3 linked regions of the Rhinolophus ferrumequinum genome follow. Each later gene encodes a partner of the first gene's protein in a complex. Links are inferred from orthologs where the notes say so. Each region holds a gene or a part of one and is shown in the gene's direction. Other genes may lie near its edges.

Region 1 (10,194 bases):
TCTTTTCTACCTATTGCTTCTAGGTGGGGTCCATCTAACTAACTAGCCCTACTGACCAACCAGTTGCCCATGTTTTCTTCCTATAGTCCTCATTCTCCCCTGCAATCTATAGCCAACAAATCACCAAGTGCGATCTAAATTTCTTTTTTTTTTAGCTGATTCACTTTTCTCCACCCCACTGCCACAACCCTAGTTTAGCCCCATTATCTCTTGCCAGAATGAACACAGCCTCCTACTGGTCTCACTACTTCTGATCTGGCTGGCCATCTTTCATCCACTGCACACATAGGATCCGAATGGTGTTTCTAAATCTAAAGTACACATCTGAGCTTGTCACTCCATGCCTTAAAGTTTCAATGCCCACTTCACACCCAACCTACCTGCACTGCCTTCATGTTGAAGCCCAGTTCTTAACATGGATGATGTGGCTTTCATTATTGGACCTTTGCTTATCTCTCCAACCTTATCTGGTGCCAACTCCCCTCTTCAATCCTGCCATGTTGTAACAACATGAATACACCTTGAGGGCATTCTTCCAAGTGAAATTAGTCAGACAGAGAAAGACAAATACTGGATGTTCTCACCTATATGCGGAATCTAAAAGAACTGAACTCAGGCTGGTCTGGTGGCTCAGGTGATTGGAGTGCAGTGCTCCTAGCACCAAGGTCACCGATGTGCCACCGTGAGTGGCCGGAGGCCAGCATGAGTGGCCGGCAGCCGGCGAGAGCTACTGTGGGCTGCTGTGAGCGGCCGACCGACTGCCTCATGGGGGTGGGGGGGACAGCACAAGGCTCAGAACACCAGCGTGGGCCAGGGAGCTGTGTCCTATCCTACACAACTAGACTGAGAAACAACAGCTTGAACTGGAGTTGGGGGGGAGGCAGAAGAAGGGAGGAAAATAAAATAAAAAATAAAAGAACTGAACTCATAGAAATAGAGAGTAGAATGGTGGTTCCCAGGGGCTGCGGGTGAGGGAAATGGGGAGATGTCTAGTCAAAGGGTGCAAACTCCCAGCTAGAAGATAAATAAGGTCTAGGAATCTAATGTACAGCATGGTGACTATAACCAACAATACTGTACTATAGACTTGAATGTTAGTAAGAGAGTAGCTCTTAAATATTATCACCATACACATACACCCAAAATCGTAATTACGTGTGGATATGAAGGTGCTAACTAACCTCACTGCGGTAATCATTTGCCAATACAAACATGTTGCTAATCTTCACATTGTACACCTTAAACGTACATATGTTATATGTCAATAATAGCTCAGTAAAGCTGGAGGTGGGGAGAACTAGCAATAAAAAAAATTCCCCTCCTCAAGCTCCAGCTCTAAGCTCTATAGATTGAACTACTCAAATTCACTGTGTTTTCCAGCTTTTGGCGCTATTGCCATGATTTTCCTTGAACATTTACTCCCATCTTCAACTGGCTAAATCTTACTCATGCTTCATGTCTTACTCTTCTGTAATTGCCTGTTGACTCTCCTGGACTGCAAGCTCATTGAGAGCAGGGACTGTGTGCTGTTCAATGTCTCAGCCAGACTGCTTGTGCCCAGTAATTATGTGCTCTCAATAAGTATTTGTTGAATAAACAAAGATGCAATGAGCTTTAGAGCAGGTTTGGTGGGTTTACAGCTGTGGGAGGAGCAATTAAGCAGGAGAGTTTTAGAGTTCAAGCTTCAAAGGTACAGTAGTGGTGACTGACAGACCAGGGTGGGGCTAAGCAAGTGCTTGTTGACGTGGAGTGGAAGTGAGGATCACTGGGGCAGAGAATATGAGGGAACTATGACCCAACATATTAGACGAGTGGCACTTATGTTGCCCAGGAGAAGTCAGGCACAGGGTAGGGTGGAGAAGGAAGCTGTGAATCATGCGCTAAAGTCCTTTCACAGGTGGTGTGATTGAGGCAGGGAGGTGCCTTCATCCTGTGGCCCAGCTTCAGTGGAGGAGAGGAAGGGAAATGAGAGTGATGGAAGATTTACACAGGACCAACACTAACTCCAGAAAATGATGACCTTGCCTATGACCTTGAGATCAGGAGGGGAAAGTGAGGAGCCTCTGTGGAGAGGGTTTCAAGAAGAGGAGGTGGAGGAAATTCTCAGAAAGAGGTCGTGCCTACAAAGTAACATATGAATAGAATGGGCTTTCCAGAGAGCCCAGGGAAAGGAGGGAGAACGGTGTCTTCCCCAGAGTAAATTCAAGTGGTCAAATGACAGGGGTCCTTATGCTTTGGCTTCAGAATTTGTTCCAGAAATGTCTGCCGTCTTGCTGCTACAATTCTCAGCTATAATGGGCTGGTTTATCCCAGTTAAGAGATTCATCTGGAATCCAGTTCAGACCCTTATAGCAAAGGAATCAAAACCTTGCATATGAGATTATCCACCCCCATGCGTTCTTTTAGTCTGTGGGAAATTGGGTCTTGACTTATTTTTGTGGGATGTCAGCACAATAAAGGTCTCCCTTTGGGACTACAATGAAAAAGAACTCTCTCATCTTAAAAAAAAAAAAAAAGCTGTGGGGTTAAAGTCCTTACTGAACAAAGTTTCAAAATTAGATAAAACTTGTTGTAGTCTGCTCACTCAAAAGGGCCCAGCACCTCCCTTCCGCGGTCACTAAAGAGTCTTTGCTTTTCGGGAACCAGCTTGCTCAGGACTTTTCGTCAGCTGATTTCTCTCTGGGCCTAGACAGACACTAGACAGCTATGGCTCTTCTAACAGCTTCTAATATGCTTGATAAATTGTCCATGGTGGGACAGACTTGACCTTTAAAATGCTGCTATTTTACTTATATTCAAACTTTTTATTTTGGTTTTCCCTATATATTCACCAGCAAGATTGCTGTAGTTTTCTTTTTTTGGGGGTCGCATTTATCGAGGTTTTGCTATCAAGACTACAACCAGAAGAAGAATAATCAGCACCCTCCCACCCTCATCTCCAAACTTGTTAGAAATGCAGAATAACGGGCTCCCCTCCCCCAGACCAATGAAACCACTGTCTGCATTTCAACATGCTCCCCGGTAATGCACACCGACATTAGAGTTTGAGAAGCTGCCCCAAGCCTTGTTATTTACTGAAAACTGCTCCTGTCCTAATTTCAGTATAAGCAGCCTGGCTCTCCAGCCAGCAGATCCTTCATCCTAGCTCACTCTGTTTACTGTGCTAGTTCCAACAATCCTTTCACCCATCATACCACTTTTACAGGGTTTCTCCCCTTTCACTGCCCCCACCTCCGCCCCCCATTTCCTCACGGCCTCCAGTCTGGCTTGGATTCAACAGTTGGCCATTATTATTATTACTTCCTTGCATATACCCTCTCCTTCCTTTGTCCTTTCTTGCTCCATGGAGTTACCTAACAAAAATAGCCCTGGTTGAATCCAGCTCCCCACCTTCCTGCGCCTGCACCTTCCCAACAAAATGTGAGCCCTGTTGACTGGTCCTTCTTTACACCTTCTCCTCTTCCCTCAAATTTCCGACAGCTCCTCCCCCTCCACACTCTGAGCTGATGACCTTGCTTCCCATTTCCCTGAGAAAATAGAAACCCTCAGAAGGGAACAGACACCTGTTCCAGCTCCTCGTCCATCGGGCTCTCTGCCTCTGAGCCCACAATCTGCCTGCCCTCTGTCCCTGTGAGTGAAGGCCGTCCTGCTGGTGTCAAGGCCAGACCCTCTGTTGTTCCCTGCAACCTTCTCTTCTTGCTCACTCAAGGACAGCTCTCCAGAAAATGTGGCCCCTCCCATCAAATTTTCCCTCACTACTTGAATCACTCCCATCAGCACTTAAGCCAGCTGTAATAGCTTCCATCCTAAAAGCGAAAATGAAAAAGAGAAATAAAACAACAACAAAAAAATCTGTTTGACTCCATATTCTCCTTCACCTACCATCAAATTTCTTTCCTCCTCTTTAGAATAAAACTTCATGGAAAAGTTGTTTATACTCATAGTCTCTCTCTTCCTAGAGCCCCATTCTTTCTAGACATCTTTCTGGGTCTCACATTCTTTCCAAAGACCACTCCAATCAGGCTTTTCCACCCACCCCTGCTGAAACAGCTCTTACCAAGGCCACTAGTTACCTCTATGACACTGCCATCAATGACCAGTCACCAACACCAACCTTACTTCAACTATTAGTCAAAATCAGTGGCATTGATCCGTCCTCCACCCCTTGGTCTTCCAGTACATACAGTCTCCTGGGTCTCCTCCTCCCGCCACCCTAGCTCCTCTCCTCAGAATCCTTTGCTGGTTCCTTGCCATCTCCCTGACCTCAGCATTGGCACCTCAGGCTCATCCTTGGCTTTGCCCTTTATTAACACTCACTCCCTAAATGATTTCATTGAGTGTTGAGATTTTACTTACTCTGAGGACTCCCAAAATTCTTTCTCCAGGTATGGACGTCTCATCCATACCCTGACTTCTATATCCAGCTTCCTACTTGGATGTCTTGGATGTCTAGCAAGTAGTTCAGAATTAATATGCCCCCAAATATATTCCAGAGTTCCTCCCTTCACATCTGCTTCTCTTTAAGTCGTCCCCATTTCACCAAATTGTATCTTCCAGTTGCTTGAGAAAAACAAACAAACAAACAAACAAACAAAAAAACCCTTAGAAATCAGCAAAATCCTGTCAGCTCTACCTTTTAAAAGTGTCTAGAACCCAACCACTTCCTTACCCCTCCCAGCTACCATGCTGGACCTGTCTTCTGTGCACTGGATTATTTCAAAAGCTTTCTAACAGGATGGCTGACACCCTGACATCCTTCAGGCTGGTCTTCACACAACCAGAGCGATCCTTTTGAAATGTCAGACCACATCCTTTCTCTGCTCAACACTCTTCAAATAGCTTCTCATCTCATTCAGACTAAAAACCCAAGTTCTCCTTTCAGTCTGTAGGGTTTCCACCCTCTACTGTTTCTGCCCTCTTCCCTCCCTCAGGAGTCTGGCCTTGCCGGGCTCCTGGGCTCCCAGCTCCCAGCGGTGGTCCTTGCTGTTCCCTCTGCCATCCCAAGCATCCCACATAGTTCACCTCATGCTCTTCATGTAGCTGTTCCCTGTAGGAGAGCTATAAATAGTCATACCCTGCCCTCTCTCCCCTCCTTGGCCTATGTTGTTTTTCTCCATAGCACTGAAAACCATCCAAGGTCATGCTTGTGCTGGTTTATTTGTTTATTGTTTGTCTCGGGAGCATGGACTGTGTTGTTCACTGCCCTACCCCTTAAAATAGTGCCTGACACACAGTAGATGCTCGAAAATACCTGTTCAATTACAAATTAAAAACAAACAAAGCAACAGAAACAAAAATACACATGGATGATATTTTTATGTACCAGATTCTGCTCTGCTCTCTGGGCTTTGGAATTCATTTTCTCGCTCGTCCTCATAAGCCTATGGTCCTGTATTACACTTTTGTGCGCGCGTTGATGTGAAGAAACCCAGGTATAGGGACAGGAAACGGCCCGTGGGGACTAAATGAGTGGAGCTGGGGTTTAAATCCGCTGTTGAATGCTATTAATCTGGATCATTCCATCACTTTCCACGCTCTCTCTCAGAGGATGCTAAAATGAGAATGATCTGTCCCACGCAAGTATGACAGATTGGGTCTACACAAAGTTGGCCCTTCGTCTTGAGCAGAAATAAAGCTTTGTTAAGAGTTGAGGAAGTGGTCGTAGAAAATGGACGTGAGATTCCTCCAGGAAGCGTGCTTAGACAGACTAGAAGGGGGCTGAGCACCCACATTTAAGTGGCAGATGAAAGAAAAGGAACTCCTCTCCTCGGCTTCTGCTTTTCTGTGTCCCCTCCCTTTTCGTCCTCCGCGCGCACACCGGCGCCCTGAGTCCTCCCGGACGCCCGGGGGCGCCCGAGGCCAAAGGGGGCGTTGCGGCGCCGCCCGACGTCGCGCCCTGGGAGGCTGCGCAGTGCGCACGTCAAAGCCGGGCTCGGGCCGGGAGCGGGGAGCGGCGCGGCCTGGGAGAGACCGAGAGTCGGGGAACCGGGGGTAGGCGAAGGCAAAGGCGGCGCCGGGTCCTGCAGCAGCCGCAGCCGCAGCCGCAGCCGCAACCCGGGCGATCGAGCGCAGCAGTGCGGCGGCCGCCGCGGGAGCCTTTGGGCCGCCGTCCGCCCGCGCAGCCGCCGCCGCCGCCGCGGGAGCCCGTCGCCGGGAGTCGAAGCAGGCGGAAGACAACGGAGGGGCCGAGCACCGGAGCCGCGCCGCGGGGACCCAGCGAGCAGCCCGACGCGGCGGCGGCCGAGGACGGGGACGGCGACGACGCGGAGGCGGAGAGGGAGCCGCTCGGCCCAGCCCCGTGAGTGACCCCCGGCCCTGCCCAGCTCGCGGCGCGGACGCCGGCCCGGCTTCCGCCTGCCCTGCCCCGGCCCGTCACCGGCCCCGGGGCTGCCTCCATTTTCTCGGGTGGCCGCGGCGGCCCGACCCGGGCCAGCTCAGGCCCCTCGCGGAGGCTTGCCCTTTTGCTCTCGCCCGCGCGGCGCCCGGGGGCCTGCGGCCGGGGTCTGGGAGCCCCGGGCTCTCCTGCCACCCCTCTGCCGTTCTCCGGCGGGGCTGGCGGCTCGGGGCGTCCCCGGCCGGAGTACGGAGGGCAAAGAAGTGCGGGCCGGCTCAGCTGTCACTCCCACCGCACACGGGCTCCGGCCACCTCGCTCCTGGCCCCTGGTAAACTTTCTGTTATCTGGAGGCAGGTAGCATCTCTGTGATGTCCCTTTCGGGAAAATGCCTAACTGATTTCTGGTTAGGAATTGTGCGGCCAGAGCGTTCCCGAGTTCGGTTGAAACAGCCTGAGCGCTGACTGCGTGCAGGCGCCGTGGTCGGTCCGCACCGGAGGGATTCAAAGGTGAACCCGGGGCCGCGGTCGCCTCCCCCAAGGAGTTTAAGCTCTGGTATGGGAGATAAGACTAGTACACAGATAACACGATACCTGGAAGGAGACGATAAGTCCAGTGAAAGAACTACAAGGTGCTAGAAAGGAACCCAGGGAAGACTGGACCGATTGATCGATCACTTCCGCTTAGCAGAAATCTGGAAGGCTTCCTGGGCGAGGCGGTGCCTAAGGCGGTTTTGAAGACTCGAAAGGATTTGTGAGAGGAGGGCTGCAGAAGAGACGGTATGTGGAGGGGCAGCAGAGCTAGAGGACAAAGGTAAAAAGGCATAGGCTAGAAATAGTGGATAACTCAGTTTGTTGCTTAGGCCCATGGTGGGAAGTGGGGGTGGGCTGAAGAGGTATTTGGGGGCCAGATCCTTGAATGCTAGAAAGGAGCTGTTTAAGGGAAACCTAGAACTCATTTCTCAGTGACTCATGAGCCCGGAAATGTAAGCTAGTCGGGATATTGAAGGCGCTGCTGTGAAAGAAAGGAGAGGAGGAGGCCCAGTACAGAGTTGACATTCTGTGTCTTGAATATAATGCAGTTTGAGATCGATTTTGACAGCTTCCGGGATATTCAAATGAATCCATGTCCAGGCCAAGCAAAGAACCTTTTGCAAAAAGCTTCCTTAGATGTCAGGCTCTTGGAGGTAATGGAAAGATGTGTTTAAAATAAGCTCGTCTGCACATAAGGCATTTCTGTTGGTGCAGTTCACTAAACTGCATCAAAACTTCTTGCACTGTGTGTTAGGTGTCTAAACTTTGGAATTACTCAGCTGAACATAATTTACCTCTTTGAGATGGCATTTATGTAAAGCAATCTAAATTGATGATTTTCAAAATCAAATTGTTACTAATATTCTGAGATAGAAAGTGACATAGAACCTTTTTATGGAAAGGTTCATTTTTTTAAATTAATTTTTAGTAATGAAAATCGTTATAGGAGAACCAGGAGCAAAAGTCTTTAGTTTTATTTTGTACATTTAAGAAATTACTAGGAAGTAATTGGCAGCTGTATTTGAAGTCCTAAACATACGATCTGTGGAAGCAGCTTAGAACCTGTGTTGGTTTTGTAAGCACTTACTTCTTTGTTTGCTTATATGATAAATGAATGTCAATTGTTTTGAGTTTTAAAAAAAGCAGTTGTAAAATGCAGGAAGTACTGGAAAATTTTTAAAAATTATCTTCTGTAATCTTACCACTTATATTTGGTTACTGTTAACATTTTTGCATATTTCCTTTTCAGCGTTATATTTTTTCTTTACATAATGAACTAAACTACATATAACTCTTATTAAGCATTTTTGTCATTAAATATCTTCGTATAAAAATATTTTCCCCCAAGTAAGGGAAGTCTTAAATTTTTTTTCTGACAAGGTTGTATTATTTATGTCAGATAAAATGTAGTAGTCATGCTTAATAACTGCTCCTGTGGACAGTTTTTCCTAAAGACTTCTTGTTTGAAGTATAGTTATTCACTTCTTTGTACAATTTAGATTCTATTGCTTGTTTATTACTTGGGCTGCATCTTGCCAGCAGGTAGGAAAGAGGTCTGACACATCTCTGCTATATGAGTGGATGTACTTTTCTAAAAGGCATTAAAAAGGATTACTTTCGTAGCTGGTATATCTCCCATACACTAATGCACCTCCATTCCTACCTCCCCATGCCCCACCCCCCAAAGTATTCTTTGAATGAGGGCTGTCCACATAGGCTACTACTTTTGATTATGACATTACAAAGATTCAGGCTAAATGCATGTAGTTTTCTATTGGCATTTCTCTAGTAAATATAGAATTTGTCATGAAATAATTTTGCTGCTAGAAATAATTTGCTGCTGTAACAAAAGGGACTTTGGTTTTTTTATTTCAAGGCACTTCACTTTATTTCATTTCAGACTGCAGGTTCTTTAAACCAGTTTTTCCCCTTGTGCTTTACATTCTAAAATATATTAATGAGGTCTCTTCCTGTTTCTAATGGCATATAAAATGAGATGCTGAGCTAAACTATAAATTTTCATAAAGTCAACATAAAAGAATAGCTGAGAAAGTCCAGTTTAAGAATGGGGTTTGGTTTTATAATTTGGTTTTATTTTAATCTTTATTTGTATATTACAAATGTTTATTTTGAATATTTACTAAAGTTTTTTCTTTTGATCAATTTTTGTAGGTTATAGATTTCTGTAATTACTACTGTACTTCCCAAGAGCCTTTTTTCAAGGAGGGGTTGATCACTGATAATTCAGTTTTACCATCTTCCATAAAAATACAGACACAAATCCAAATTGTCCCCCACCTGATTCCAACAGCACGCAAAAATAAAATCCAATATTATATGGTAGAACTTCATTTTAGGTAGTATATTCTGGTTACCTTTCTGGTGGTGTTTTTATTTTAAAAATCCATTTTGTTTTCCATGGCTTCTTTTAATTAGGAATTTGATTCTATGAATGTTGTCTGCTGTTACAGAAATAGGAGTGTCATAGGTGGATTAATATGGAAAATGGCAAAATGTTGATAAAACTTTTTGGAGTGGTAAGATTATGAGGAAGACGATCAGATCTCGGAACCTCTGGGTTAGATTGCTTGTGACTTGTTTTGTTGTTTAATTATTGAAGTGTAAAGATCTTGTATTCGTGTGAATGCATATCAAACCACGCAGCCTAAAAGTTGCGTAACAATTTAGTCATCAGTCTATATTTTGTTTTTTTATTGGAGAGAAGGCTGGTATTGGAGCCATCCTTAATTAAAGAAGGAATGGAGCTACTCTACTATGTGAGAGTTCTTCCTCTGTGTGTCTCACCACTTTAATGACTGTTCAGCTGGACCCGAGTCACTACCTTTATCAGTCAGAGTATGGGGGTGGAGCAAGGTGAGACAAGTATTTCTACTACCACCAGCATTTGTAGAAGAGACTAGTCGGAGTAAATGCCAAAATGTGTGTTCTGCTTCTGTTTCTCGGGGCTTCCCAGGATTGTGAGGAGGAGTTCCTGAAGGACCGGGCGGCGAATGACGGACTGATGGTAATGACGAGTGACAGCCTGTTGCCATCAACTTTCGTTTTTTGAGGGGAGGGTGTAGGTTTGGGTGTGTGTCCCTTCCATGTGCCATTTCTGCCTCACTGAGCTTCCTGGCCCCACTGTGCTTTTACTTGAGATAGAAGGGGTGCAGTGAAGGCAGAATTGCGGTTTATTAGCAACTGTGACGCTAAACTGGCAGAGGAAGGGAGAATGGCATGCAGGGAATTACAAGAGGCCAGTCGGGTGTGAAGTGGCCCAAAGGAGGGAGGTAAAGCCCGCCCTGGCCGTTTATGTCGGCACGTTTATG
Region 2 (9,736 bases), on another chromosome or scaffold:
ACACACAATTAGATCGTTGCTTTTTGTTTAAAATGGCAGTTTGAAATAGCAGTTGAAATGGCTATAGAGAATGCCTCTAAACCAAGATTCCACAAATAACTGTTGGAATTGCACAATAAACATTGCTTGGTGTTTTCTTCTGTGTCTACATTAAGCTTGTAAAAAAGTTAAATTTAGAACACTATCTGTGGTGTTGAAATTTCAGGGACTCAAAACAATGTAGTTCAGTGTATGTTTTGTAGGTGGCGGTGCTGATGACAGTATTATAGGATATCTGTAGACTTTAAGATGCTTACATGTATGTGGAAAATTTTAGGGATAGTTAGTACAGGAGCACAGTTTTCTCCTTACGTGATATAAGCTAATGACATCGTGAATGCTGTATTTTAAGTGATTGTATGTTTTTCTTGAGTAACAAGTGCATGAAAAATTAACTGCTTCAACCAGAGCAGATCAGTGGTCTGTGTGAAGTCACAAATGTTTTCCTTCTTGGTCGCTGCAACCTGTCGGATGTTCCTGGAGAGCCTCTATTCTCTGTGTTATGGCTGTGTCTCTTTGCTTCTCCTTCTGCTTTGATCTCTTCCACAGCTGAGGCTGGGTATATTCTTTCAAAGAAATAGCCATGAATATGCATAAGGATACTTTTAAAAATGAGCTTTCCTAAACTTTGGAGAGTTCTTTCTGCCTCTTGAGGGAGGAACTCTTGGGAGAGAGGCCCATCTATCTGCACAAGCATTTAGCTTGTTCAGATCTCTGCATTTTATAAATGCTTCCTTCTAAGAAAGCATTTTTTTAAGTCACTGCTTGTACCAGGTAATTTTGGGTGGGATGGGAAATGGTTGGGTTTTTTGGTGGGAGAGGGGTGGGCGGGTATTTTTTTGTGGACGCTTTTATGTGCAGGTGTGTCTGAGGCAATACCAAGCTGCTGTGGAAACAGCATGTGCTGCTGCCTTTGTAACTGCATGGAAACTTCACGTGGGGTTTTCTCTGGGTTAATGCAGAAATGTGTAAACTGGGAGATGCAAATGTAATATTTTTTTTTAACAGTTCATGAAATTAAGTTATTAAAATAATAAAAATAACATAAAATGTAATGCTATATAATTCTAGAATTAGCCTTGTTTTACAAACCTTTAAAGTACATTATAGAAATCACAATTGATAGGCTAAGTTATCTTTTGATGAAAGCTTTCTTAAAGTCCCACACATTTGGACCATGGCAGCTAATTTTGTAATGTAAGCATTCATATGCACTACCTATGGACATACATTAAACTCATTGACAAAAATCTCAGAGTGCCGCCTTTACTTTTCTGGGGTTTCCCTACAAGAGTATAAGCCCATAGGGATGTTCTTTCTAGTCAGTAAAAGTCACTGGAATGCTTTTCCTTCAAAAGAGTTGGCCTTGACAACAATCCCTTAATTCCCGGTTATTTTTTTAATGTTTTGTAGTTTTAAAGCCCTAGGTGTTATTAATGGGGTCCTCCCCGAAGTCCCCGTCTTGAGTTAAGACACCATTATCTCCTCTCCTATGAACGAGACGGCAAAGAGAGGAGAATGTTGTTGACTTGTCTGTCACATTGGGAAACCATTCAGCCCTCCAATCTTGTCTGCACTGCCTGGGCACAGCAGTGCCAAAGCAAGCACGGGACTGGAAGACAAAGGCCTGGCTTTTACTGCCACCAAAACCTATAACTAATCCTTTGACTTTGGACAAGTCACTGACTAACTTTTGAGTTTCTGTTCTGTTCTTCCTTTTACAAAGTGAGCATAATAATTATTTTCTCTCCCTAACAGGAGATAATAAATGTAAAATTCTCTAATAAATTACAGCATTTTTATCTAGAACTATTTTCCAAGTGGTGCACTTTTGCTTTACTCTGCTTTCCTTTCTCCCAATAGAAACCAAACAGATCCTTTTAGAGTTCTCTTTATCTGCAAAATTTGACAGGGTTGGTTTGTTTTGTTTAGTTTTGTTTGTGGTTTTTCTTTTTCCGTGGTGGGGGTAATAGTTTACAGTTCTGTTTCCTTACTCATAGAACCTTTTCCTGTCAAGTACCAGATGTGAAACTGTTTTCTTTAGATGGGACTTACACCAAAGAAAAACATTGATTTTTCTTTCTCATTCCACTCATCCAATAGTAATTGGCAATGTAAAAATTATTTAAAGCAGTGTCTACAAGAATCTGTTTTGATGGGGGTGGTGGTGAAATACTGTACTTTTATCGTGCTGGATTCTCTCTTCTTACTGTTCCTGCCTCCACTCATTTTGAATGATTTGAATGGGTGTAAGAGATGAGAAACAGTTATCCCTATAGCATAACTGTTGGTGATCAAAGATTTATTCGCATTTGGAAGTAAGTGTAAGGTTTTTATCTTTGCACAGTTGAATGTCATTTTCTCAGTTCTATGAACTGAGAAGTAATACCAATTTCAGGGGAAGCTAATTTTTTTTTTCCTGAAAGGGAGAAACTTGTGTCTATTACTACATCACTTTTAATGGATATTATTTTTTATTTCCATTTTTAAAAATTAACTGACCTCTGATTTCATCTATTTGGTTTTATCCAAATAGTGTAGCTTTATTTGTTTAAAAGATACCAGGCCTTTTTAAGTATTTACTTCTGTGGGAGTTATTTGGAAATCAGATAATATTACATCTGTCTAGGTTATTTATTGTGTCACCTTTGCTTGAGGGAGAACTCTTAAGTGCCTTCCTGTCACATTTTCAACTTAAATACTAAATAGCTCTTTCTTCTGCTTCTTTTTCCTGCATGTAACTGTATCACTTAGTAAGGTTGTAGCAAAGCTAGAATTGAAGCCAGTTTTCCACTTCAGGAAAGAGCCCTGGATTTATTGGCAGGAACCTGGAAGCTGTCATAGTGCTTTAACAAGTCTGTTTCCTCATCTAAATGAGCATTACCTACTCTCCCCTTTCTAAAATGCTGTTCCGAGGATCATATTAGATAACATGTATAAAGTGCTTTGACATATAAAATGCTGTGCAAATTAATCCTGCTAAACTTGTTAAACTACACATCATAAGCATTCCACTTGTGTGTTCTAGGCAATTAGTTTTACCTTTCATACAGTTATGTGGTATCTTGAAGAGGGCAGTGCCCTTAGTTTAAACTGGATGCTCAAAGAGTTACAAACAAAACAGGATCATCAGTCCATATCCACTCCTCTAGGCTTCAAGCCAGTTTCAGAATGCTCCAGAAATCTTGGGAGAGCCCCAACCCTTATTATAAGTAGGTGAAAAGCATCAGAGGGCTTGTGCATCGCAGGGATCATAATTCAAAAGCAAAACAGGAAAAGATTGACTGTAAATACTGCAAGTTGACCTTTTATAACGCCGGTTTTCTAAGTTTTCTGGACTTAGTCGGCCCTGGAAAACTAAACTTAATGGAAATTTGCTCCTTGAAACTGTCAGAACAGAATCTGGGTCAAAAGGTTCGCTATGTCGACGAAGAAACCCCCTGCCTAAGAGAAAGCTTGTAGGAGTTTGTTTGAGCCAAACCGATGACAATTGCTGGGAAGCGAAATCTCAAGGGATTAAGAAAATGCTCTGCAAAGGGGCGGTTTGCAGCTTATTTTATACATAGAATCAAAAGAGGAGGGTTACATGAAATCCATTAGTGGTAGATTAAGGGTGTGGGAGAAAGCAAAGCAGGGAAATCTCTGGGATTGGATAAAAGTAAATTGGAGAGACAGGTACCTCTTTTACATAGGAATTTTTTATGTTCACCCCATCTTATGTGGTTATTTTCAGTCTCCTGAGCTTGTCAGGTTTAACCTGTGGCCCCTTTTCCATCCTCATCTAACTAAGCTTTTGTAGGCAGTCATGAAGATGGTGAGATCTTTCAACCCCTTTGGTAGACTGATACCCAGCTAGAAAATAACATAGCTACTGGGCTATGAGAACAGATGGGAAGTACCTCCATGTTTAAAATTACTCATTGTGGTGGCTGCATCAAGTTTGGCGTCTTTGCAGGCACTGACTTCTCTAGTACCCCCAACTCCAAAGACCACATGGGAAGAAGGTTTTTCCAAAAGAACATCACCAACAATTTTACTTCAATTTCTGCTATCTTGTTTTGTCAATTTACGAAGTTTGCTGCTGAGAGAGGCATTGTATTTTGAGGATGAGAGAATAGTAAGAGTAGTGCTTTGGAATGTTAAACCACTAGATAAGATCAAAGTGATGTATATAAAATTGAATGAGACCTTGAGGTGCAAATCGGTTTACTGGCAAAGTTCATATTCAGTCTCAAAGTCACATTTCTGTCCCTGTTTAGATGTAACTGAACTCCCCCACCTTGGAAGTTAGACCAGTATAAATCTGTGTCAAGGGTCAGAACTAGGAAGAGCTTGATGGTATATATCCAATTTTGGAACTACCTCCTCCATGGGCTAAGTAAGTCAAGTGAATAAAAGGCAACTTCACAGAAGGGAGTCTTGCTCCATCACTTGATTGCTTCATCATTTCTCAAGCGCTGCCTGCCTTGGCTTAGGCTAGCTTTCCCATCAAGGCAAACCTTACAGGTTTCTGCAAACAAAACATGAGTTGCAAATGAGGAGTGATCCAGAAACGAAAAGATCCAGAAGGATAAAAATGATAGTTACCATTGATTGAGCTATTTTCTTCCTTTTACAGAGAAGTAACCTGAAGCAGAGAGAAGGTGAGTTTCCCCTTAGCACTTGTCAGTTTGGTGCCGGAGAGGCCAAAGTGAGGGGCTTTTGAGATGTATTCAATGAAAAGAGCGCGATAGGTTTTTTTCCCATTGAAGTCCTACCACACGAAATGAAAATAAAATCCTCAAAGTAGCCAAGTCAGCAGCCAGTGTTGGCTAGCCTTACTCTAGTCCCCTTGACTCTTCATGATCGAAATCATCTACTTCCTTCCTGCTGCGGGGGCGAAGGCTCTGGGGAGTCCTTTCCGAAGCCTGCAGTGCTCACCCACAAACTAGGTCTTTGGCTTCCACACACTTGGGGAAACGGGTCCCTTCTGTGGGAAACGGAATGCCTCTGGTACGCGCTGCGCGGAATAAGAACTCAACACCCGGAGAACGGCAACTCCGCGCTGTCGCTGCTGGGTGCCCGCGGCAACCGAAGCGACGGGAAAATCAGACGGAGCTTCCCCAACAGAGAGGGCCGGGAGGGCCGGGGCGGAGCTTCCCCATCAGGGCGGGGCGGGGCGGGGCGGGGCGGAGCTTCCTCACCCTCGCCGGGGCGGGGCGGAACTCTCCTCCAGCTCTCCCGGGGTCCCTCTAACTGCGCATGGCACGTTGCGTACCCCCCCCCCCCCAGCAACCGGCCGGGCTGCGGCGAGGATATAAACTGAGGAGGCGGAGCTGAGACGGGGTCGGGACTTCGTGCTAACTCCAGGACCAGGTACCGGACTGGCGGGGCCGCCTGCTGCGCTCCAGGGATCAGTCCCTCCTCTCCCTGACGCCGATTTCATCTCCTCGGGGCGGGCCTTCCTCGTCAGAGCGGCCATCCCGGCTCTCCCCCCTCGCCCTCCACGGCCCCCTTTTCACGCGAGTCCTCGATTCCCGCAATGAGGGGTTGCAGCCGGAAAGCAGAATAGGCTTGGGCCTGGCGGGGAGACCCAAGAGCGGAGTTGCTAGGCGGGAGAGGCAAGCTCCTGCTTTCCCGCCCCTTCTCCCCCACCACCCCCCAACTTCCAGGTGGCGTACCTGAGGCCCAGGTGTCAGTTTGTCCTGCTGTAGCGAAGAGGCGGCACCTCCCAGTGCTTACTTCCCGCCCCCTTCCCATTCCCATTCCATCCCAGGCTGGACAGGCAGCGGGTCAAGCCCCCTTAAGGACAGAAACCTAGGTGACTCCGTGAATCAGACACAACAAAGAGCTCCTAACTGTCTTGTTTTCCAAGAATGTTTAAGTGCCCACAGATTTGGGGAGGAGATGGCGGGGGGCGGGGGGTGTTGAGGGTAGGGAAGTGAACACGGGGGAAGGGGAGTGGTTAAATAAAATTGTTCAAGTTTTCAGGAGATGGGGAACTAACTTACTTGTCTAGCCTTCTGCTCAGATACCTTTTCATTTCCCAACTTGACTTCCCCCAAAAAGGATAAGCCTTTCGAATTGCTCCTTCTATTATCGTAGAATCCGTTCAAGTAGAACCATATTCCAGTACCTATTTGCAGCATAAGACAATTCTTCATTGACTGAATCATACTTTCTAGAGAAACCCAAGACTGTTTTCTTGTCCCTGAGAGTAGTAGAAACCAAATCTCACCTGATTACTTGTCTCAGGCCAGGAGCTATTCAGCCATTGCTATGGACCCAAAAGCTCGCCTTCCCGCCTGCTGATTTTCTCTCACCCTTCTCTCCTTCAGTGAATTTCCGTCACTTGTATTGTTTTAGCTGCTAACTCCCAGCCCATAGCCATCTCTAACCTCTCTCTCCAGCATCAGTCTTAACTTTTCTAACTGAATGCTATGTATATATTTCCACTTGGAACATATAATTGTTTTCTCAACTGCGATATGATTTAAAACTTCAAGCTCATCTTTCCACCAAAACCACTTCCACCTCTGAGCTTTCCTGTTTTGTGGTTGACACACTCTTCTTTTCCCAGTTACTTGGAGACAAAACACACACACACACACATTGGAGTCATCAGAGCTGATGATAAGGTAGTGAGTTGGAGAAGGTAGTGTCTGGTATGGGACATTTTCAAGCAGACTAGAGAACCTTATATCCAGGAGTTTGTAAACGCTTTTCCTCTAAAGGGTGGAGGATGGGCTAGAGATTTACTGTGTCCTTACTAACGAAACAAAATTTCTTTGTTTTTTTCTCCCCCATCCATCTGTTTCTTAACATTCTTTCTGCCACAGGCTCTTATCACCAAAAATATGGTTCCACTCTAATTGTATTCTAATTGGCATTCCTTTCTCTGGGTTATTTCCACGTCTCCTCCCATCCCTTTGCAAATTAATACTCCTTCTGTGTTCCTTAGAACAGGGCTTCTGAAATGTTAGTCAATATGATGGTCCACAGATCAGCAGCATTGCCATAATCTGGGAGCTTGTTAGAAGCACCAGGCCCCACTTGAGACCTTCTGAATCAAAATGCATTTTAACAAGATGCTCAAGTGATTTGCATGCACGATAAAGTTTGAGAGACACTACCTTATACCACTGTTTTGTGTTTGTCCCCTGTTCAAAACCTACAGTGGCTTTCTGTTGCCTGCTGAATAAAATCCATACTTGAGCATGCATTTAAGACCGGTTCATTGCTCTCATACATGTGGAGTTCTGCTTCTGTAACTGCTTCATGTTAACTGGAAAATATATGCAAAATGCTGACACACTCCTCAGCACTTTCGGTCAGCCATTCAATATTACTCTGTACCTACTATGTCGTAGGCACTATTCTAGAAACGGAGACACACCTGTGGAGCAGACAAAGTAAGCACTAAATTATCAGTGGCTAATACTATTTCCTGCTTGGAAATCCCATTCTAAGTCCTGTTTGACATTCGAGCCCCACCCCTTCATGAACCTATCCAGGTCCACCCATTACAGTAATCTTCCCCTTCACTGAACTCCATAAGGAGTTGCCCATTCGTGCTTGTGTATCTCCAGACCTGCCGAATTAAAATTTTTGAAGGTGGGGAGTTCAGGTATCCATAGGTTTTTAGAACTACACAAGTTAATTTGACACACATCCTGGTTTTGGAACCAGTGGTTCAGATCATTAATGAAGCTGTAGATGTGGCCGCCTAGAGCCAGTTCTTAGGTCTCTCCAAATGGGCAGTTACAGTAGTTTATGCAGTGTTTTGCAATTGGCTTTACTTTCTATTTCCAATATTTTCCCAGAGCATAGACAATTCTTTCTGTAGATAAAATTCATCTCTCGTCTACATTAATAGTCTCTCTCTCTTGTAGACTACATATGGATATGGACCTTGTTTCCCCTTAAATTTCTTTTGCATATTATTAAACAGTGTATATTCTACTTTTTTTTTTTTCCAAATTCAATCTATATTTTTACTATTTCATGGCAGGATACATGATTCTCAACACGGTGGGCAGGAGGCTTCTCTGAATTTCTCTGAAGCAGTTCTAAGGATTCCTAGAACTCGATGTACCAAATTAAGTCCCACCCCCATTGCTATATCACTACCATAACTCCTCACAAGCACACCTCAAAAAAAAGGGAAATATGGCAGGTTTTCTTTCTAGATTCTTCAAAAGCATTTCTGAGTACTTATTTCAGTCATTTTACTTTTTAAATCAACTTTATTGAGATACAATTTACCTACAATAAAATACACCTATCTTAAGTGTAGTTTGTTGCGTTTTGCCAGATAGAGTCATGCAACCACGACCCAGTTAAGATATGGAATATTTCTCTCGCCCCTGAAAGTTCTCATCTCTTTGAAGTTGGTCCCTCGTCTCACCCTTGATCCCAGGCAACCAATGATCTTTCTGTCACAACATTTAACTTTTTCTAGAATTTCATGTAAATGGAAACAATATGTAGATTTGTGTGACTTCTTTCATTTAATGTGATATTGTTGCATCTACCGTGTTTCCCTGAAAATAAGACCGCGTCTTATATTAAATTTTGCTCGAAAAGACACATGAGGGCTTATGTTCAGGGGATGTCATCTTGAGAAATCATGCTAGGGCTTATTTTCTGGTTATGTCTTATTTTCGGGGAAACACAGTAGCAGTAGTTTGTTCCTTTTTATCACTGAGTAGTGTTCCACTGGTGTATATACCACATTTTGTTTATACACTTACCAGTTGGTAGACATTTATTTGTATCGTTTCCAATTTTGGGCTATTGTGAATAATGCTATCATGAACATTTATGTACAAGTCTATGTGAACATATGTTTTCTTTTTTTTTTTTTTGAATTACCTAGGAGTAGCACTGTTGGGTCATAAACGATTAAACTATTTTAACATTCCCACCAGCAGTGTGTGAGAGTTCCAGTTGATTGATATCCTTGGCAACACTTGGTATTGCTACATGGCAAACCAAGGAAATGAAAAAAGGAGGCAGTTATTAACTTTTGGGAAAAAATGGGTGTAGAGAAAGAAGACATGGTCATCTTTACCTATTGGCTCAGCTACGAAGCATGTTTGCATAGTCAAAGTAATGTAAATGTGGATTATTGATTTAACCAAAAATTACGCCAGAACTATGTTGAAGGCAGGAAGGCAGAGTGCAGGCAGGTGACGCAGGGGCGCTTAGTCGTCATCTACCAGGGTAGGAAGTTAGTAGATGAATGTCTAAAATGAATAAGTCATGGCCATATGAACATTATTTAAGAATGGTGATAAAAAGGTTAAACAGCCAAGAGAATTGAAGGTAATTGCTTCTGGGAAAGGGTCAGTGGGGGGTTGGGCCAACAGAAATTTAAAAATTAAAGAAGAAAACCATATAATAATAAACTTTTCTTACAGAGATTGCAGTATTTCAGAATGTACTTGGCCTAAGTACCTCTATGTTTATTGTCAAGGAAAGTTTCTCTAAACAAATCTTTAGTATCGAGCCCTTTTTAGGTTTAGTACGGTGCTTTGAATAGTGGACTTGTAGGAAGTTTTTGTTAATCAAAAGATATTTCTAAAAAAGGAGATCTGACTAACTCAACCTGTTTCTATTTTCCTTTTAGGTTTAAGTTTTTGACATTGAAATAGGTCTACACATTAGGAACTCATGTCTTTTCTTGTAAGTAAACCAGAGCGAATTAGGGTGAGTG
Region 3 (9,668 bases), on another chromosome or scaffold:
GAGTGTGGGAATCGAGGGTCAGCAATGGGGCAAGTGGATCTAGGGGCTTGCTGGCTGTGGAGCCCTCCACTTAGGATCAGAAGCCACCTGCCTGAAACCAGGGATTCCCCACCTATAAGCTGGGGCCCCAACCTGTGCCCCGTGATCGTTAACAAACCCTGCAGGTTGGTGAGGATGACAGAATGCAGGAGAGGATTTTTCACAGGCCTCTCACAAATATTCATAACTAGTATCTATGGTTATTCCCATTTGTCATAGTTTACCTTCCCAGAGATCAGGCTGCTTCTTTCAACCCGGTGTGTCATTGCTGGCTGCTCAGTCTTTGCCTTTCATGGTGGTTCGTGAAGTACTAGTAGATCTCACTACCAGTGGCCTCATATTTGCTGACATACGGTATTGTTAATTCCCCTTTCAGAGAAATGGGAAAGTGAGGCCAAGACCTCCCACCTGAGGACTTCTGCTGAGAAGAGAGCTGGGGCCAGTGAGAGTCCCTGGAGAGGCAGAGAACAGCCCCCACGGGGGTCTCAGGCCCCATGATGCTGGGGAGGGCCCTCCAAATCTGGTTCCATACTGGCCTGCCTGGGTGGGTTTGATGCTTGCTACGAACCCTGTGTTGGCAGGACAGACAGCTGGGCAGCCCTAAGGCCTGCATCGCCCTGAGCAGATGGTGCTGGAGTCCTTACAGGGTTCCTGGGGGCTCCCAGGCTAGGCACTCAGGTATGAATCCCCGTGCCACTGTGAGCCGGTGGTTTCCCCTCTGCAAGTCTCAGTCTGCTCACCTACGATGGGGGCGCAGGCGGGGGGACTTTTGAATGTTCTAAAGTGACTCCATCACCCCAAAAAGCAGCCTGTCCCCATCAGCAGTCACTCCCCATCCCCCCTCCCAGCTCTTGGCAACCACTAACCCACTTACGGTCTCTGATGTGCCTGCTGGGGATGCTTCACGTAAATGGAACCGCACTGAGCATCGTGTTCCAGGTGCATCCACGTTACGGCGAGGGGCACGGCCTCACTGTCATGGCCACGTGACACGCCAGTGTGTGGGCCAGACTGTGTGTCCATTACCTGTGGATGGACACTCGCATTGTTTCCACTTTTTGGCTGCTGTGAATCCTGCTGCTGTATCTGTGGACAAGTCCTTGTGTGGACATGAAATTGTTGGGCCATACAGAAACACTGTGTTTAACCTTTGGACTGTTTAGCAACGTAGCCACATCTTTTCTACACAGGTTCTGGTTTCTCCACATTTTTGTCAATAGTTCTTATTGTCCGTTTTTTTTTTTTTTAAATCACAGCCATCCTAGTGGGTATGAAGTTAAATAATTTATTTCTTTTAATCTAACATACCCAAAATTATGTCATTTCAACATGAAATCAGTGTAAATTACTGTGTTTTTTCATAGTCATTAATGATATATTGATAAATACATTTTTTTTCATGATAAGCCTTTGAAACCCAATGTATAGTTTATAGCGCATCTCAGTTTGGGCAGCCATATTACAGGAGCTTAATAGATATATGTGGCCAATGGCTGTTGTACTGGAAGGCACAACTCTCATTGCTGAGGGTGCAGTAGTGACTAAGAGAGTCCCAGTCCCAGCCCCAGCCCCAGCCCCAGAGAGCTCCCCGTCTAGTGCCAGAAACAGAAGAAAAATGGGTTAAAAAAAAAAGATTATATATATATATATATATATATATATATATATATATAAATGAGACAATATCTGATGGTGACAAGGCAAGGATTAAGAAGAAAATCAGCCTAGAAAGGGCCTATGTTCCAGGGGGTGACCAGGATTGCTTCTTGGAAGAGAAGAATGGCCACCTGCATTGGCCACCTGATAGTTCCCAAGTCCCTTCCACATGTTCTACATATCAGGAGAGGATTGTGGGCTCTGTGAAGGAGAGTGGGGCCCCCAGATGCCAAGAAGTTTGGGCATAAGCCAGCAATCAAGAAAAAAAAACCACCAAAAGTAATTTGGGTTGGGCAGGGTTCCCTCCTTTACTGTTTTCTCGGAGAGATTGTTTAGAACTGATGTTACTTCTTCCTGAAATATTTGGTGGAAATTTCCCAATGAGACCATCTGAGCCTTATTTGTGTTGAAGGACTCCTTGTGGTTAACTGGGCCCAGATTCATAACCAGAGTCAAGCAGCCATTGTTTACAGGGGCTTCTCACCCAGGCTGCATGTTTGCTGTTAGAGAAAATCCACAGACTGGGCTGCCAGCCTCCTGCACTGTGCTCCTGCAGGGCGAGTCAACCCTTCCTTACAAGAGAGCTCCTAGGATGGAAGTTTGACCATTAGGACTCAGACTTACACTGTGCAGCTCTATCCCTTTTTGCATCTTAACTGACCAATCAGAATGGTACTATTTGGATCAAACTGCCGATTTGGAGTTTTTATTTGCATAGAAATGAGCCAATCAGTGACTAGGGGTGGGAAGGTCTCACTGTATTAAGTCAGACTCTTGCACTTCTGAGGAGTGCATTCTCAGTTTCTACTAAAGATTGCTTTCTCAGTTGGCTGGGAGACCTTTTATTGAGGATTGTCTTTGTTGAAAGGTTTTTCACTGCAGATTTAATTTCTTTGGTAGATATAAGACTATCCTGTTTCCCCCAAAAGTAAGACCTAGCTAGACAATCAGCTCTAATGTGTCTTTTGGAGCAAAAATTAATATAAGACCTGGTCTTATTTTACTATAAGACCTGGTCTTATCTAACATAACATAAGACTGGGTCTTACATTAATTTTTGCTCCAAAAGATGCATTAGAGCTGATTATCCGGCTAGGTCTTATTTTCGGTGAAACACGGTATGCAGACAATTTGTTCTTCTTAAAGTCTTCATTTTAATGTCTTTCAAGGTGTTAGTCCATTTCAAGTAGGATGTTGAATTTATGGATGTAGAGCTGTCCCTAGTATTTAATCCTTTTAATATCTGCAAGGTCTGTGGTGACGATATCCTTTCTTTCATTCCTGGCATCAGTCATCTTTTTTTCTTGGCCAATCTAGCTAGAGTTTTGTAAAAGTTTTTGGATCTTCTCAAAGAACAAGTTTTGGTTTCATTGATTTTCCCTATTCTTTTTCTATTTCCTCGGTTTCTGTTCTGTTCTTTATGATTTCCTTCTCTAAAGGAGTTTTAGGCTGATGCACGTATTTTGATTGGGGCTTGCTGATAAGCTGGTGCAGCTTGTGCTCCTACTATTCCCAAAACCACGCTAGTCCCCCTTATGTGGGTCATTCCGGAATCTGATGTAACTCAACAGATTGACCCATCCCCAACAACATGCACAGGAGACACTCAATTTTTCAGTTTTACGGAGTTCACAGCTCATGGACTCAGAACCCCCTGCCTGGGGTTCTGGAACCCAAATCCGATGTGTCCGCTTCCAGTGTTTTTCACTTTTTGACTATTGTGAATCAGGAGCTTCACACAAGACAGTTTGTTCTGGCAAAATAATCTATTGCTAAAAAGCAGAAAGGTAGAAAATACGGGCCTGGAACAAGGGAGGTATTTTAAACTTCAAGGTGTATTCTGTGAACTTTTTGTTTTTCACCCAAACCACTGTGGGGACAGAGCCAGGAGTGCAGTTTCCAGGCTCTCGGCCTTATGTGGAAAGGTGCTCACTCGGGTAGTAAATGCCCATCAACTGTGATTGGATGGCCATCAGCTGTGGCTAGTTGGCCGTCAGTTGTAACCAGTGAGCCATTGGCCACTAATATAACTGCCGTGGCTATGCTAGCAGAAAATGGGGGCTAGCAAGAAGATGGTGGCTGAGCTAGCGAGAGCGGCTTGCAGTTAGCACGGCGGATTGCAGGTAGCAAGTGAGATTGGTTGGCGCAGAGGTGATCGGCAGGTTGCAGATAGTGTGGCTCCTGCTTCCTGTGTTTCCAACCCAGCCTCCAGCGAGAATATAGTGGGTATGACTCCCCTATTTATGGCTCCGTGGGTGTTCCTTTTTGTCCATAGCATGTCCTGCGTTCGTATGTGGGGAGTGGGACCAGAGATCCTGCATGACACGCTGCATGACAGCACTTTGCTGGGACAGCCCCAGCTCTGTTCTGTTTTCATCTGTGGGGACGAAGCCCCGGAGAGTAGTTTCCAGGCTCTCGGCCTCACGGCCTCACGTGGAGGGGTGCTGGCTCGGGTAGTAGATGGCCCTTGGCTGTGGCTAGTTGGCCGTCAGCTGTAGCCGGTTAGCCGATTGGCCACTAATATAACTGCCACGGCTGGGGAGTGGGAGTTGGTTGGTTGGCAGAAAAGCGGACAGCAGGTCACATGTCCTGTGAATCCAGCCTCCAGTGAGACTATAGTGGTGTGACTCCCCTATCTATGGTTCCATGGGTGTTCCTTTTTGGCCATACCATGTCCTGCGTTCTTATGTGGGGAGCGGGAGCAGAGACCCCCCCACAGGCCGCCCTAGACATCATCCGAGTTCCTTTAGGGTAGACACAGTCAAGCGCACCTCCCTTTCACTCCTGCCCCACAGATGCTTAATCAAGGCTTTTTGCCTTGAATTGGCCATTGGGGGCTACTTTCTGACCCTTGACCTCAACTCAAGGCGGGGTGTCTGCGGAGAGAGGGCCCGAGCAGGCATCCTGCTGGGTCCCCCGAGGACTGCACCCACCCCACAGCTGTTCGGAGGAGGCCGATGGCGCTCGCAACCTCCGACCCCAGGCCCAAACCCCTCCGAGGTCAACTCCACAACCTCACCGCTCCACGCCCGCGGCCCGCCCCATGACGGGCGCCTCCGTGGGCTAATGGACGAGCCATATCCACCCCTGGGGCGGGGCCGAGTGCGAACCAATCCCCGCTCGAGCTCCCGCCCGGGTCCAAACGGGCCAATCGAAGGAGGCGGTGGGGTGAGGGTTGGGGGCGGGGCATGTCCGTTCCGCCAACGGGCGGGCACGTCAGCACCGCGAGGGGTGGGCCCGCAGCGGTGTGCGGCGGCGCGGCGGCTCAGGGCGGGGGCGGGAGGTAAACAAGATGGCGACGGCATGTCGGGCGCGGAAGGGGGAGGCGGACCGGGGCGCCCGCGAGTGAGGCGGGGGCGCGGGCTGCAGCGGCGGCGGGGCCGGGCGGCACCGTAGCCGCTTTGCATGGGCTGGGCCCCCACGCCGCCCCGCCTGCTCCACGCGTGCGGCGGCCGCGGCGGGGGACACGCCGCCCGGGCCCCGGCGGCCTCGGGAACCTCCGGCCCGGGGCCTACGACCTGCGCCTTCTCGGGCGCCCGGAGCCTCGTGTGGTCCCCGCGCTCCGAGGGCCGCGGCCGACGGCGTTCGGGGCGGAGAGCGAGCGCAGGCTGCCGTTTGGGGCGGAGAGCGCTCGCCGGGCCCGCGCAACCGCTCGGGGGTCCCAGGCCGGATCCTACGGAAGTTGCTCCCTGTGCCGGGAGGGCCCCGGGAGGCCCCCGGGCGGCCCCCGGACCACCCAACGCGCGCCCGGGGCCGGCGGTAGCGGACCGAGCCGTATAGGCTCCTGCCGCTTCTCGGGACGCCCAGGACGGCCGGGCTGCCGCGAGACGCCCTGGTCCCCAGCGAAGCTCGTCTGTCCAGCTTTGGGGGCCCCGGGGCCGGCCGGCCGCGGCGGGGCTCCGGGCGCGCGCTGTGGCCCGCCGGTAATGGACGGCCCGGAGAAGACTTGGCTCGGCCGCGTCCGTGTTTGTCCGAGGGTCTAAAGTCCCTGGAGGATGACCTAGCACTTCGCAGCCCCACCGGCCTCTCCAGGGCCCCCGTGGACGCGCCGGCCCTACCTGGAGCTGCCAGGCCGGGTGGCACCCAAACTTGTGACGCTCCTCACCGTCGGGTGCCTGGGGCCCGGACCAGGCACGCCTCTTGAACTTACGTTTAGTACAATCGTTTCTTTTTGAAGAAGGGTTTTCTTTTCTCTTTTTTTTCTTTTGCGTTTTTGTTGACTTTTTTTAGCGAAGGGAATTTTTTTTGTGGGGGGGGGGGCGGGGGACAAAAAGAAGAATCTCTCACGGGGGAATCCATAAAGGGGGATAAGGGACCGCCGGCAGTGGGAGTCAGAGGCCTTGGGTCCAGGATGGATGTGGCAGACCCGCAGCAGCTGGGCATGTTTACAGAGGGCGAGCTGATGTCGGTGGGTATGGACACGTTCATCCACCGTATCGACTCCACCGAGGTCATCTACCAGCCCCGCCGCAAGCGGGCCAAGCTCATTGGCAAGTACCTGATGGGGGACCTGTTGGGGGAAGGGTCCTACGGCAAAGTTAAGGAGGTGCTGGACTCAGAGACGCTGTGCAGGAGAGCCGTCAAAATCCTGAAGAAGAAGAAGTTGCGGAGGATCCCCAATGGGGAGGCCAACGTGAAGAAGTAAGTTTGGGCTTCCTGCCTCGGGGCACCAGGGTCACCCCCTTTCCTTCCTTCCCTCCCTCCGTCTTTCCTTCTCCCTTCTTGCCCTCCCCTCTCTCCCTCCCTCCTCCATTCCTTCTTTCCTTAAAAACCTGAGCTGACCAGCCGCCTCTTGTGTCCTCCTTGCCAGGGAAAGTGTCGTTGGAAACCTGCTTAAGTACTTTCATAAAGTCAGCTAGCTGGTTGCTGCTGGGCGTTGGTGCTTTTGGGCTCTTGGGCGCCAGTGTCAAAGCCCTCCTCAGCAGGAGTATGTCCCTCTCCCCCCTCGTCCTCCCAGCTTTGCCAAAGCACTTAGGTGTCTGGTGGAACCAGCCAGTGCTTGTTTGGCCCTGAGTTTCTGCACGGAAACGGCCTTGGCGGCCAGCAGGTTTTCCGCGCAGCGAGCAGCCGGTACTAGCGCCAGGCCAAACGCGATTTGTTTATCCTGTTGGAGGGGAACCCTGGGGTTGCCAAAAATAATTGTTTGCACCGGCTTATCAGTCAGCAGTGGGGGACTTAGCTCGTTCCCCGCCGGCCTGGGATATGATAGTAGACGTTAGTGACTGCAGGCCCAGTGACTCCCAGAGGGGAATTGCTTGTGTCTTGGTGAACTTTCTACACAAATTTCTTCATGAACCGTCTGCCCCTAGGCATCCTGGCCGTGCTGGGATGTGCGCATAGGAGTCCCTCAAGGGCGGCCCTGCCTCCTTCCTCTAGCTGGTCTCAGGACAGGGGCACCATTGCTTATCACTGCGTGATAGGGAGTATCCTGCCGACCCCAGACTCTTCGCAGCCTCCACATTCCCAGAAGGGGTTTATCTAACGGGCTAGGTGGCAGGACTGACTCTGACCTTGGCTGGTTCCCACGCCCGTTCTGTAAGTGCCACTCACCGGCTCTGCTTTCATCCCCTCCTTCTCACCCAGTAAGCCAGCGGAGCTGTTTTCACTGGCTCTGGGACAGCCTGGGGGAGGTGAAATGGGTCATGGAGCAGAGAACTGGGGCCGAACTGACAGGGCTTCTGGTCAGTGTCTGTACTGAGAGCAGCCTGCAGGTGGGCATGTGGGCTGGGCAGCGGGCAAGGTGGGCCCGTGTTTTGATGAGGCCTTTTTATAGCCCAGCCTGTGGACACTGGGAGGTGTGGCCCGTATCCTAGGACCAGTTGGTCAGTTCTCTCTCTGCGCAAGCGTCTGTGAGGTGGGCTTTGGGCAGTGTCCTGGGGGAGACTGAGGCCTTGAACGACTGAGCCCTCCTGAGGGCCAAGTGAGCCTCACCCTCAAGTTAGAAACCCCCACTGGACTGCTGGCCTCTGCGTCAGGTTTTCTCATTAAGCCAGAAGCGCATGGGGACAATGTGGCCCTTAAGCTGCCAGGTTGCCACAGCTTTGGGTTGAGGGCAGTGAGCTCCTACATCCAGAATGTTGCCCCCCTCTGGAAATGAACCCCCCACCTCCCGCTCTCCAGGGCAGCCCTTGTTCTTCTGGCCTGGAGAACAGTGCCCATTCCTCTTGGGCTTCATCCCGCATCTGTCCTGGAATGGGCACTGGTCCATCGATGTGTTCTGGTGCAGACCACTGATGCCGTGCACCCCAGGCCCCTCAGGAGCAGCACCCGGAGGTAGGAGGGATTCCAGCACCAATTGATCTAATTAGTCACCCAAGCCCACCCTGCTGCCTATTGCAGGGGTGCCTCAGGGTGTAGACCCGACCAGGGCACCGACTGGTGGCAGCAGGGTTGAGCAGGTCCCAGAAAGGTCCGCAGACCCCAGCTGCCATGGGGGCAGTGTCGGAGTGGGCGAGGGTCCCCCTTGCTAAGATGTAAGGACGCAGTTTACACGTGCCAAGGTCAAGTTCGAGGGTGTTTCACCGTCAAGAACTTCCCTCCTGCTCTACTGGAGACACAAATGACTGGAACCTGGCTGGAAGGCTGCAGAATGGCTGGTGTCCAGCTTCTGTTTTCCTCAGGGGTCAGCCGAGATCCCAAGAACCTCAGGAGACGTGGGTGTGTGGTGTCAGGGCTGCATGCAGCTGGGTCCCTCAGTGTCCATGGGAAGAACTGGAGGAGAAACTGAGGCCAGGGAGGCCAGTGGTTTGTGGTCTGCAGCCAACTAGACAGCATAAGGTGTCAGGCGCAGTGCACCGTGCCAGCACGCAGTTTCATCAGTGCAGTGCAGGCCCCGAGCTGTCCTGTCCACTGGTGGCAGCTGCGATCTTGCTTAAGCCCCTGCCACGTTGTACCAAGTCCCTACTTGGTGATGCAGTGGGCCTGCCTCGTATGGGCCTGTGGTGCCCAGGGGAAGGGAAGGGGTGTATAGGCTGCAGGGGGAAAAGGCTCCTTTGTCTGCCAGAGGTTGAATAGACTCCACTTCCAGTCATCTCTCCTATTGGACTGTCCGGAACCTTCCGGACAAGCTGGCCTCCAGTTTGGATCAGAGCTTTTTTTTTTTTTTTTTTTTGGGAGGGGGGAAGGGGAACAGGACTTTATTGGGGAACAATGTGTGTACTTCTAGGACTTTCAAGTCAAGTGGTTGTCCTTTCAATCTTAGTTGTGGAGGGCGCAGCTCAGCTCCAGGTCCAGGTCCAGTTGCCGTTGTTAGTTGCAGGGGGCACAGCCCCACCATCCCTTGTGGGAGTCAAACCGGCAACCTTGTGGTTGAGAGCCCACTGGCCCATGTGGGAATCGAACCGGCAGTCTTCGGAGTTAGGAGCACGGAGCTCCAACCGCCTGAGCCCCTGGGCCGGCTCCAGCTTTTTCTGAAATAACGTTTGCCCAGGTGCTGGGCCAGGTTGGAATGCCCCTCCTTTCATGGGGCTTCCTCCAGGAAGGCACCTGTCCCTTCTCATTTGTTCTTCCAAAAAGCATTAGGATGTTTAAAAAAAAAAAAAAAATCATAATTTTAATGTCAACACATCTTCCATTTTCATTTGTGTTTTCTTACCCTATCCAAGGACTTTTTAATGCAAAGTGTAACTCTCCTAAGGATCACTTTTTAAAAATAAGTTGTATTTACTTCTCTTTCCATTAGGCAGTAGAACTGCACAGATGAGGCTCATAAAAGGCGTCTGCAGGGTTGCCCCCGCTCCCTCTTATCTGGGGGCAGCAGGGTTTCCTGCAGGTAGAGACAGTTCCATACCTGGTGGGCTCACTCTGGGGGACAGGCAGTGAGTGGGTCCAGCCCTGCAGGTTATAGGATAGCCTCCAGGACAGCTGCACAGACGCTGCACCTCGATTCCACTTCTAGCAAGTTGCCAGAAGTGGAGTTTCTGGGTCAGGGAGCATGCATGTATTTGATAAGCTGCTGCAGACCGCTGGTCCCC

What was found.
Region 2: the proteins of CAB39 (region 1) and STRADA are in contact, whole or in part, in a crystal structure (PDB 3GNI), measured with the Homo sapiens proteins. The link is inferred for Rhinolophus ferrumequinum from reciprocal best matches to the Homo sapiens genes CAB39 and STRADA. Residues at the interface, in NP_001124321.1 of Homo sapiens: Leu26, Glu27, Lys28, Gln29, Tyr55, Gly56, Thr57, Asn58, Ala85, Asp86, Gln88, Leu89, Phe92, Glu93, Lys96, Arg107, Glu138, Leu141, Ile145, Ser176, Thr177, Phe178, Asp179, Ser182, Asp183, Glu221, Asn222, Tyr223, Val224, Arg227; in NP_001003787.1 of Homo sapiens: Pro64, Leu104, Glu105, Cys107, Ser108, Asn109, Val112, Gln116, Leu119, His120, Lys123, Leu124, Phe125, Asn126, Thr136, Phe137, Ile138, Asp140, Asn141, Leu143, Tyr185, Met189, His223, Gly224, Arg226, Val426, Asp427, Asp428, Trp429, Glu430.
Region 3: the proteins of CAB39 (region 1) and STK11 are in contact, whole or in part, in a crystal structure (PDB 2WTK), measured with the Homo sapiens proteins. The link is inferred for Rhinolophus ferrumequinum from reciprocal best matches to the Homo sapiens genes CAB39 and STK11. Residues at the interface, in NP_001124321.1 of Homo sapiens: Gln109, Gly111, Thr112, Lys196, Leu197, Leu238, Asp239, Arg240, His241, Phe243, Met246, Ile250, Val280, Ala283, Asn284, Pro285, Glu317, Gln318; in NP_000446.1 of Homo sapiens: Gln100, Arg103, Arg104, Glu165, His168, Ser169, Gly171, Leu201, His202, Pro203, Phe204, Ala205, Ala206, Asp207, Asp208, Phe234, Arg301, Ser307, Arg310, Lys311, Lys312.

What each region holds. Positions count from the first base shown.
Region 1 is NC_046291.1:7,495,565-7,505,758, reverse strand, and holds the start of CAB39 (calcium-binding protein 39), read left to right. Parts: upstream 1-5,933; 5' UTR 5,934-6,298; intron 6,299-10,194. UniProt on the Homo sapiens protein: Component of a complex that binds and activates STK11/LKB1. In the complex, required to stabilize the interaction between CAB39/MO25 (CAB39/MO25alpha or CAB39L/MO25beta) and STK11/LKB1.
Region 2 is NC_046304.1:42,345,545-42,355,280, reverse strand, and holds the start of STRADA (STE20-related kinase adapter protein alpha), read left to right. Parts: upstream 1-5,260; 5' UTR 5,261-5,394; intron 5,395-9,649; 5' UTR 9,650-9,693; coding exon 9,694-9,729; intron 9,730-9,736. UniProt on the Homo sapiens protein: Pseudokinase which, in complex with CAB39/MO25 (CAB39/MO25alpha or CAB39L/MO25beta), binds to and activates STK11/LKB1.
Region 3 is NC_046301.1:61,655,275-61,664,942, forward strand, and holds the start of STK11 (serine/threonine-protein kinase STK11), read left to right. Parts: upstream 1-5,795; 5' UTR 5,796-6,046; coding exon 6,047-6,336; intron 6,337-9,668. UniProt on the Homo sapiens protein: Tumor suppressor serine/threonine-protein kinase that controls the activity of AMP-activated protein kinase (AMPK) family members, thereby playing a role in various processes such as cell metabolism, cell polarity, apoptosis and DNA damage response.